2 linked regions of the Canis lupus familiaris genome follow. The protein of the gene in region 2 binds, or shares a complex with, the protein of the main gene of each other region. Links are inferred from orthologs where the notes say so. Each region holds a gene or a part of one and is shown on either strand. Other genes may lie near its edges.

What was found. Proteins that work in one complex are often made in the same cells at the same time.
Region 1: ACTL6B (region 2) and DPF1 share a complex: the UniProt entries of both Homo sapiens proteins name them as parts of the neuron-specific chromatin remodeling complex. The link is inferred for Canis lupus familiaris from reciprocal best matches to the Homo sapiens genes ACTL6B and DPF1.

Annotation. Positions count from the first base shown.
Region 1 is NC_049222.1:115,605,412-115,610,742, reverse strand, and holds the end of DPF1 (zinc finger protein neuro-d4), read right to left. Parts: coding exon 5,306-5,331; intron 5,214-5,305; coding exon 5,094-5,213; intron 4,034-5,093; coding exon 3,921-4,033; intron 3,304-3,920; coding exon 3,180-3,303; intron 3,041-3,179; coding exon 2,970-3,040; 3' UTR 1,868-2,969; downstream 1-1,867. UniProt on the Homo sapiens protein: May have an important role in developing neurons by participating in regulation of cell survival, possibly as a neurospecific transcription factor. Belongs to the neuron-specific chromatin remodeling complex (nBAF complex).
Region 2 is NC_049227.1:9,000,486-9,004,897, reverse strand, and holds part of ACTL6B (actin-like protein 6B), read right to left. Parts: coding exon 4,381-4,412; intron 4,313-4,380; coding exon 4,206-4,312; intron 3,536-4,205; coding exon 3,446-3,535; intron 3,287-3,445; coding exon 3,225-3,286; intron 3,116-3,224; coding exon 3,001-3,115; intron 2,859-3,000; coding exon 2,778-2,858; intron 2,682-2,777; coding exon 2,586-2,681; intron 2,399-2,585; exon of another isoform or gene 2,382-2,398; coding exon 2,295-2,381; intron 1-2,294. UniProt on the Homo sapiens protein: Involved in transcriptional activation and repression of select genes by chromatin remodeling (alteration of DNA-nucleosome topology).

The sequences.
Region 1 (5,331 bases), on a different chromosome or scaffold from region 2:
AGCAGGCCCACGGAGGGTGCCGGTTTGGGAATCAGTGGTCAAACTTTGGGAAATCTGGAGGTTGCACAGGCGGCGGGCCCTCCAGCTCGCGGAATCGGTTCTCGGCGGGGGGCTCGGCGCCAAGGGCCCCCTGCCTCCCCCGGCGGCCTCCCGGGCCACGCCCTCCCGGCGCCGGCTCATTTGCATGTCCCCGCCCTCGATGGGAGGAGGCCTCCCCTGCCCGTCGGGTGGGCGGTTTCGGGTGCAGACCAGGCCCTGCCTCCAGGCCCTCGGGGCGCACAGCGAGGCGGGGGCGCCCCTAACCTCGGCCCTGGGCCCGGCCCGGCCCCTGCCCTCAGGAAGGCCTCGCAGCGTGACCTGGGGATCACGGTCCGACTGGTTTTCGGAACCTCAGAACCAACCGCACGTGAAATCCAAGGTCTGGCCTCCTGCGGGAAGTCCGGACCGAGGAGCAGCCAGCCTCGCGACGGGGCCGCCAGGTGGCTACACCTCACCCCCTCACCTGTCATTGGGTCTTCCATCTCTGAGCTAAAAACCTGATGCTTCTCTGACTCAGCCTCTCCCCTCCCCGCCCCCCCCCCAAAAAAATCTCTTTCCAAAACGGGTATATATCCTTTTTCCAGAGGAGGTGGACCAGCTATTTCCACATCTCCTAAAAATTCTAGAGTGTTCCAGACACTCTTCCAGTCCCCGCCCTCCTTGAGGCCCCATCCTCTCCCCGTGCGCCCTCCCCCCACCAGCATGGGAACGGTGGAACAAGATGTTCTCACATCCTCTCCTGGCGCCTGTGACACACACCGACGTCCAACGCCCCGCCGCTCGCACCCACACTGTGCCCTGCTGGTCCCTTCCCCATCTTGCCCCACTTTTCGACTTCCTCGGCCACATCCCGTATCCCCGCCGGCGCCCTCTCGGACCCTCCCCCAGCCTCCCTCTGGCGCCCATCACCCCTGGCTCTGTCCCCGGCCAACCTCCGAATCCCTCCATACCTTCGGCTCTCTCCACATTTCTCTATTGTCCCCTAAATGCTTTGTCCTCCCCCCTGAAGCCTCATCTCTGTGCCAGCGTCCTGGGACTCTGCCGTCCCTGGATCCTGCCTGTCGCTGCCCAGTGTGCCTCCCCTCTTCTCTCCTAATGTATGTGCCTGGTTCTCTGCCTCCCCTCATCGGCTCTCCTGCTTCTCCAGATCACTCTCTACCTCCTCCTCCTGTCTCTCCCTGGTGTGTCTGCTATTTTTTCTTACTATTATTTCCTCTCCCACTGAATCTCCATCTCTTCTGTCGCCCCCCCCCCCCCCCCCCGTGGCTCGCTCATCTACCTCTCTCCAGATCTATTTCTTCCCTCTCCTGCTCTTGTTCCGATTCTCTATAAATGTGTGTCTCTCTGCTGATCTCTCGGTGTCCTGGTTCTCTCCTCATCCCGCCTCACCCAAATCTGCCTCCCTCCCAGCATCCCTGGGACGGGGGACCCCAGGTGAGGTCGGGGGATTACAGGAGGTGCTCCTGGCACCCTGCCCCCTCCCCTAGCCCCGGAGGGCGGCCCCTTCATCCTCCCATCCCTTCCCCCCAGGCCCCAGCCCCCGCCTCCCCCCTCGCTGCCGATCGCTGCAGCTGCAGCAGCCCGTTGCCAGGGCAACCACAGCTGGCTGGGCGGGAGCCCCCTCCACCCCATCCCCCTTCTCCTTTCCGGCGAGGCTGGGAGGAGCTGGGACAAAGCCAGGGAAAGGCGGGGTGGGGGGGGAGTTGGAGGGAGATGGAGGTCGGGCGGGCTCCAGCTGTTAACCTCGGTCAGCTCTCCCTCCACGAGGCCCCCGTCTCCCCTTCCTGGCGATGCCCCCCAATCCAGCCCGCATAACGAGGCGGTCGCGGGCAGAGGGGTCAGGCCCAGTTTAATACACAGAACAAGTTAATTCACAGCAGAGGCAGGCAATAAAGGAGACTCGTGTACAAGGGGGGGCATGCGTGGATCGGGGGAGACCCCCCAAGCCCACCACCTCCCCCACTTGCAGTCTCAATTTCCCTTTTTTTTAACCCGAACAACAAACACACACAACCACGAGAAACAACCACGCCCCCTCGCTACCCCCAAAATGGCCAGCGAGGGTGGCAGGGGGCAGCCCGGCCTGGCCGGTGGGGAACTGGAGCAGGGGAAGGAGGAAAAACCAGTCCGGTGCAGAGTCTGTGCTTCTCATTCCAGCAGGCGCTGGGCGGGGGCCCGCCTGGCCCCCCCAGCCGACGCCCACCAGCCTGGGGGGTGCCCCCCCCACACCGCCACGGCGGCCCGACCTCGGCCACGGCGGGCACGGAGCGGGCAGGGCGGGGCGCTCGGGGAGGGAGCGGGAGCGGAGTTCAAAACCATGGTTCACGTCATGCAGTATCCACGGTGGGCACCAGGGCGGGGCGAGGGTGGACACCACACCCACCTGCCCGGGCTCACGGGGGAATGGTGCCCACTTTGGGTGCGGAGGCGGGACAGCTGCAACTCCGGAAACCGGGGGGCGGGGCTGCTCGGCAGGAAGCCGCATAGACTGGTGCCCAGTGGATGCTCAGCAGTGCCCCCTCCACCCGGCCAGGCCTTAGAGGACTCTTTGTATATATTAATTTCTTTTTTTTTTTTAACTTTTTGACTTTTTCTTTAGAAAAACGCTGTGTCCGTGCCCCGGGCTGGCATCTGCCGCCCCTCATGCCCGCCCAGAGGCGGGGTATGGCTTTGAGGGGAGCAGAAGCCCCTGGTGCCCATTTGCCAAGGGATGGGGAAGGAGGGAGGAAGGGAGAGGAGCCCTGCTAGGCCCACCAACCCACAGGGCAAACATTCCACTTGCACAGAGGGAAGGGGGGGCCCAGCCCCCTCTCGGGCTCCCCCTCTCCCCCTCCCACGGTGGGGCACTGAGGGCGGGGAGGGTGTGGAGGAGCTCGGAGAGGCAGATGGGTCAGCACCACCCCAGAGGTCCAGGTGAGCCAGAGCCAGGCCTAGGTGAGGGTGATGTAGGCAGAGGCCTTTTCTTTCAGGTGCCGAAGACAGAGGTGACAACTCCAGCTCCCTGTGGGGGAGGACAGGGGGTTAGGCCCAGGTCCTGGAAGGGCTGGCCCAACTCCCTCCCAACCAGCAGACACACAGTGCCTGGTCTTCTCCAGCAGGAAGCCCGCCTTTCGACCTGCCCACGCCCGTGTGGTGCCCACCTCTTCTCTCACCTTCCGGGGGCTCCGCCATGGGAGGACTCAGGCAGTACATGTGGTAACCCCGATCGCAGTCGTCACAAAACAGCAGCTGGTCCTGGGGGGTGAGACCCGCCCAGCTGGCACCCTGGGGGCACGGGCACCAGAAACCGGGGTGGGGGGGCTGGGGCAGGGGTAGGTCAGAGGGGCTGGGGAAGGTTGGTCCCTCCCACGAGAAGGGGCTCCGAGAAGGTCTTTGCATCACGGGATCTTTGCAGAACCCGGCTTGGCCAAGCTGAACACCCCTGTGGTCTGTCCGTTTGCAGTGTGTCGTCTGGGTTTGACAGAGTCTGCGGAACACTTAAAATGACACCCAGGTGGTCTGATACCAGCTCTGGAAGCACTGGATGTGGGTTCGGGTCCCAGCTCTACTAATTTCCTAGACGGGTGACCTCGGGCAAGTCATTTCCCCTCCCTGAGCTGGGTTTCTTCTCTGTGAAGTGGGAACAGGGCACCTACCTCAGAGGGTGGTTGGGAGGAGGCAGGGACATGAGGAGCCCTAAGGGCCCGGCCCGTTAACGGACACTAACAATAATGACAGAACAGGTTACCGCTGCTCCCCGGGGAGGGGCTCCAGGGAGCGGCCTGAGGCGCCCCGGCGGGCCGAGGGGCGGGGCGGGCAGGTCACCTGGGGGCGTGTCCCGGGGCGGGGCGGGGCGGGGCGTGTCCCGGGGGCGTGTCCGGGCGGGGCGGGCGGCCACTCACGTCATTCTCCGAGGTACCACACAGGCTGCAGGACTTGCACTCGATGCACTGCCAGCGGTAGGTCCGCACGGCTGCCGTCATGTTCACCGTAAACTGTAAACATGAGGGGTGTCCTGGGGGCCGAGGGGCAGGGATGCGGTTAGGGGCCATCGTGCCCCCTCCCCCGCGGTGGCCGCTGAGCCCGGGGAGGAGACGGCCCGGCCCCCACGCCAGCCCGGCTCTGAGGCTGGGCCTGACCCCCCCCTCGCGGTGCCCGGGCCGCCGCGCTGCTGCCGCGGCCACCCGGCCCCTACCCAGCCACCATGGTAACCACATTCTGCTCCCCGGAACACCATGGCAACCGCATTCCATTACCCACAGTGCTGTGGCAACCACTTTCTACCACCCACAACACCCGGGCAGCCACATTCTGTTAACCACTGTGCTGAGGCAGCCGCATTCCATTACCCACAGCAGAATGGCCAACAGGTTCCGTTAACCACAGTAACGTGGCAACCACGTTCTCCCAGCCGCGATGCCATGGCAACTGCCTGGCACAGGGGGGCCCCACACCCTGGGTTCCCTGCAGCCCGAGCCCCATTACCCGGGATACCCTGGCCGCCAAACTGCTTGTGACAATACCGTGCGATGCCAACCCGCTGGCCGTCCCGCTACCCCAGCGCAGAGACCCCCCCGTTGGCCACTACCCCGGTGCCACAACAGCTACCCAGTCGCCATGACAACCACATCGCACTACCCGTAATACCATGACAACCACAATTCATTACCCACTGTGCTGAGACAACCACAGTCTATTACCTACAAGTCCACCCTGGGAAACCACATTCTATTAACCACAAGTCCACGGCAAGCGCCGTCGGTTATCCACAGGACCCCGACAGTGGCCATCCATGACTCATTATCACAGTCCACTCCCCACGATGCCGGGGCAACCATCCTTCACCACTCCTCGTGCCATGATAAGCACAGGCCACCACCACCAATGCCATGACAACCACATCCCAGAGCCTCTCTGACCCCTCTGGGTTTCCCACAGTCCTCAGCAGTGGAATCCGTTGCGCCACCCCTGGGTTCCCCCCACCAGGCCGCGCCTCTCCACCTCCCATCCTCCAGATCTAGATTCCTGGTGTGCCCTCCACCCAGGCCCCCGGCAACCTCGGGTGGGGGTATCACCTGATCGCCCACAGTCAGCACAGGAGATGAGGTCCTCGGGACACCCAGTCTTCTTGGAGCCACCCAGACAGAAGTCACAGTAGCCGTTGGGGATGACAGTGCCATCAGGTGCCTTCTTGGCTGAAAGACAGCAGGCAGGGGTTGCCACAGGCAGCCAGGGACACCTAGTCAGAGGCTGCTGGGGAAATAGGGGCAGAGGGAGGCATCCCTACCTGTGTGTTTCCTCTGTGCCTCAGGG
Region 2 (4,412 bases):
CTCTGCCTGAAAGCTAGTGCCTGTGTCCCTGGTACTACTGTCCCTGTTTCTCTCCTTTCCCGAACCAGCTCATCCACTCCTGGGACTTCTGCTTGTGCTCCAAAACCCTATTCCTCCCTCGATTTACCATTGCCAATGCTTGGAACTGAACACTAGACCCAAATACTCAACTGTCTTTAAACACCTCCTTCTGAGTCTCTTAAGACCTCAAATTCAGCATGTCTGTGACTGAGTTCCCCCAGAGCTGGCCCAAACCTTCTTCAGTGGCCTTTCTCATTTTCTATACTAGTGCTGGTGAATGTAGTGGCTATTGAGCACTGTGGCTATTGGGCACTTGAAATATGGCTAGTCCAAAATTTTTTTAAAAGATTTTATTTATTTATTAGAGAGAGAGAGAGAGAGAGAGAGGCAGAGACATAGGCAGAGGGAGAAGCAGGCTCCATGCAGGGAGCCTGATGTGGGACTCGATCCCAGGACTCCAGGATCATGCCCTGAGCTGAAGGCAGATGCTTAACCAATGAGCCACCCAGGCATCCCATGGCTAGTCAAATTGAGATGTGCTCTACAGTTATAAAATACACAATGGATACTGAAGACTAAATCCAGGAAAGAGAATGTAAAACATCTCATTTTTATATTGATCACACATTGAAATATCTTGAATATAATGAATTAAATAAAGTATGTTCTTTTCTTTTTAAGATTTTATTTTTAAGTAGGGGCATCTGGCTGACTCCGTTTTTAAGTAACCTCTACACCCACCATGGGGCTCGAACTCACAACCTCTAGATCAAGAGTCACACACTCGGAGTGCCTGGGTGGCTCAGTTGGTTAAGCATCTGCCTTCAGCTCGGGTCATGAACCCAGGGTCCTGGGATGGAGCCCCACATCAGGTTCCCCTCTGCCTCTGTTGCTCCCCCTGCTCCTGCTCTCTCCCTGGCTATCTCTCTCAAATAAATAAAATCTTAAAAAAAAAAAAAAAAAAAAAGAGTCATATGCTTTACTGACTGAGCCAGCCAGGCAACCCAAATAAGATATATTTTTTAAGCTTAACTTTCACCAGATTCTTGGGGCTCTTATAAAATATGCCTACTAGAAAATTTCAAGTTATATATGTGGCTCCTCATATTAAATTCCTGTTGGACACAGCTGCCAGGAGCTAGCATCCTGGGCATCATCCTAGACTCCTTCTAACTTTTCACATCCAGATGCTGCCCACATTGTGTCATGAGCTCCCAGTTCTACAGCCTGATACCCACTCCCCTGTCAAACTCCAGTCACAGTGGAGGCCACTGTTCAAGCCACTCTCCACTCTGTGGCCCCATTGAGCTTCTTAAACTTGGGTCTGACAGCATCTGCCCATTGCCTTTGGTCTCCCTGCCTCTCCCCATGGCCCAAGCATCCTCTCTCCTTCTTTGCCTCAAGGGTTCTTACTCAGTCTTCCATCTTCAGCTTGAATGCTCCTTAGAGCCCCTGAAACTAGATCAGGCCCTCCCTTCAAGGAACACTTGCACATTTTGAGGTGACTTCCTGCTTAATGGGCTCAGCAGCTGGTCTGTGCTGCCTCCTGAAGCAGGGACCATGTCAGGCACCCAGGGTGGGGGGCCACAATAACTGGATGGATGAATTCACACTGTCAGCCTCCTGTATTTCTGACCCCTGTTTCTGTCTCCTTGGGGGCTGCCCCTCTAGGAGATGACCTTCTTGCTCTGTCATGGTCCCATTGTCCTGTCTGTGTGGCTGACACCCATGAGATATAGTTTGCATCTCCAGCTCCCTGCTCAGCATCTTGCCTGTGTCCCACAGCAGGTCCAGAGAGGACTCACCACCTATTGCTCCAGAACCAGCCTGCCTGTCTCCTCTATCTGCCTCCTGCCCACCACCCCATCCTCACTGCTTTCACTCTGTGACTCTAGGACAATGGAAAGAGCCTCTTCCCAAGGTGCCCTTGTGTCTGGCTCATACTCTGATCTCCAAAGACTCATTCTGGACATAGTCTTCCCAAACATGCCTGTGACTGTCACATTGCTTCTTTGCCCCAAACTTCCAGTGTCTCTCTTCTGCTAAGTATAGTGGGTGCCTCGTCCATAGCCTCAACTTCCACTAATCTCTCCAGCTTCCTGTCCTTCTGCTCCCTGATTTGTCCTGATGGAGCATTCACCCTTCTGGGAGCCTACTCTTTCTCAAAAATAAAAGTTTGTTGAATGAATGAATAAGGAGGCGGACAAGGGGATGGGATGTCTGGGTCTGCCTGGTTCCCACAGTCAGTGCGAGGCCAGGCCCCTTCCTCTCACCAGTGAGGCCAAGATGGAGCCCCCAATCCAGGGGCTGAACTTGCGCTCCATGGTGCTGTTGCTGGCGATGAGCTTCAGCCGCATGCTCTGGGGGGAAAGAGGGGCTGGGGGAAGCAGACACCTGGGTTCTGGGAAGGGAGAGGGCTAGAAGTGGGGAAGACTGGGAAGCCGCAGGGGGAGGGGTCTGCTCTGGTGGCCAGAACACTTGCTGTTGAGGAAGGAGGAAGGACTGGGTCCTGGAGAGCTAAGCCAGGACAGGAATCCAGGACCCTGTTGGGGGAGGGCTCCTACCGGTGGGGTCTTCTGGGAAAGCTCCCGATTGAGCCTGTCAGTGAAGCCCTGGAGCAGGGTATTTCCACCGGTGACAATGACACTGCCATACAAGCCCTGAGTGCAGAGAGGAGTGTGCCTTCAGGGCACAGCCCCTCCCTGTCTCCCCACTACTTTTGGGCCCCTGGGCCCAGACACAGGCTTGGGCCTCACCGGGCGAATGTCGATGTCACACATGCCTATGCTGGTGGTCACCACGTGGCCCACACCCAACATGGTGTTCCCCGACAGGCCCTGCCAAGAAAGGTGATCTGGGTTTTGGGCCTCTGCCCTCTCTCCCCAGACCCCAGTGATCCTTCCCAGCCTCCCTCACACCCAACGTTGGCATCCAGGGAATCCAACCAGTCCCCACCTCAATACCCTCCACCCACCCAACCTTGACATTGGAGGGATCGAACAGGCCCTCGGGAATGCGGAGCCGTTCAGCACCATAGTCTGTGTTGTAGCCATTGGGCATCTCATAGTGTACCGTGGGCATCTGCGCAGCCACCCTGCCCAGGAAAAAGAGACTCTGCCTGGGGGTGCTCACAGGGGACCAGAGGTACCCTCTGAATCCCAGGCCTGCCCCCTGTCCCATCCCTCAGCCATGGGCTCACTTACTGCTCATCATAGGGAGAGTCTGAGACCTGTAGCACAGAGGCCTGGAAGTCCTGGATCACCTCCTGGGGACCCAGGGACACGGTGAGCAGTGAGGGCCTGGTGTCCCTCCTCAGCACCCCCAAGCCACCCCTGCAGGGCCTCTCTGTCCCTTCCCCTCTACTCATGGCAGGGGAGCAGGAGCTGGGAGGGATAGGGGTTGTTTCAGGGGACCGTCTCCTCACATTGCACATGTAGTTATGCCAGGACTTGGAAACCTGGGGGAGCTTCTCCTTCTTCTTCCAGTTTGGAGGGGCGCCCTCCCGTACAGGTTCCTGGGGGCACAAAGCCTATGAGCATCCTTCCCACTCCACTCCTGCCCAGCCCACCCTGACCACACCCATGCTCCTGCAGCTAACAGGCACTGAGTTCTTTGCTCTGCTGCCCACAAAAGGTGTTCCTCCTCCTTCTCTCTCAAAGGAGAGAGAATGGGGAGAGCCTGTCCCCATGTTTGCCACTCATGCAACAGGTACAGCTGATCTGAAAGGCCTAGGCTGGAGAAAGCTGAGGGCATGGGGGATACAGTGGGAGACGAGAACCTTAAAGAAGTAGCCTTTCCTGAGCCACATTCCATGTGGGAGTCCAGGGCGGACCCTTTCAGTGTCTCAACACTCACAGCTGCCGTATATGCTGTAATTCCACTTCACAGGGGAAGGAACTGAGGTTCGGAAAGCTTTGATCTGCTCTAGGTCACACAGCTCTTACATGGCAGAGGCAGACCTTGAACCTGGGTCTGCCGCACTGGCCCTCATACCTCCTGTTACCAGCTAGCTGTATGACCTTGGCCATGTCCTTCAGCCTGTCCAATCTCTGATGCTTTGATTATAACTTAAGGAACTGGACTCAGGGTCCTCTGGGGGCTCTGACACTCCTCTCTCTGATATCTAGTGGGTCAGTGGGTCAACTGTCATAGGGTAAGTGCCCCAGGCTCCCCAAAGACACCACCTTGGCAGCAATCATGTAAGGTGGAATGATGTCAATGGCCATTTCCTGGAAGAGCTCCCGGCACTGCATGGAGATGAAGTCCCCTGCTAGGGGCGACTTGACAATGCCTGGAAAGGGAGGGGGTGTCAGGGCCAGGTCCTCCCCAAGGAGTCCCCGACCCCTGTTGAGGCCCCACCTTGCTGTAGGACGTAGCCATCATGTACTGGG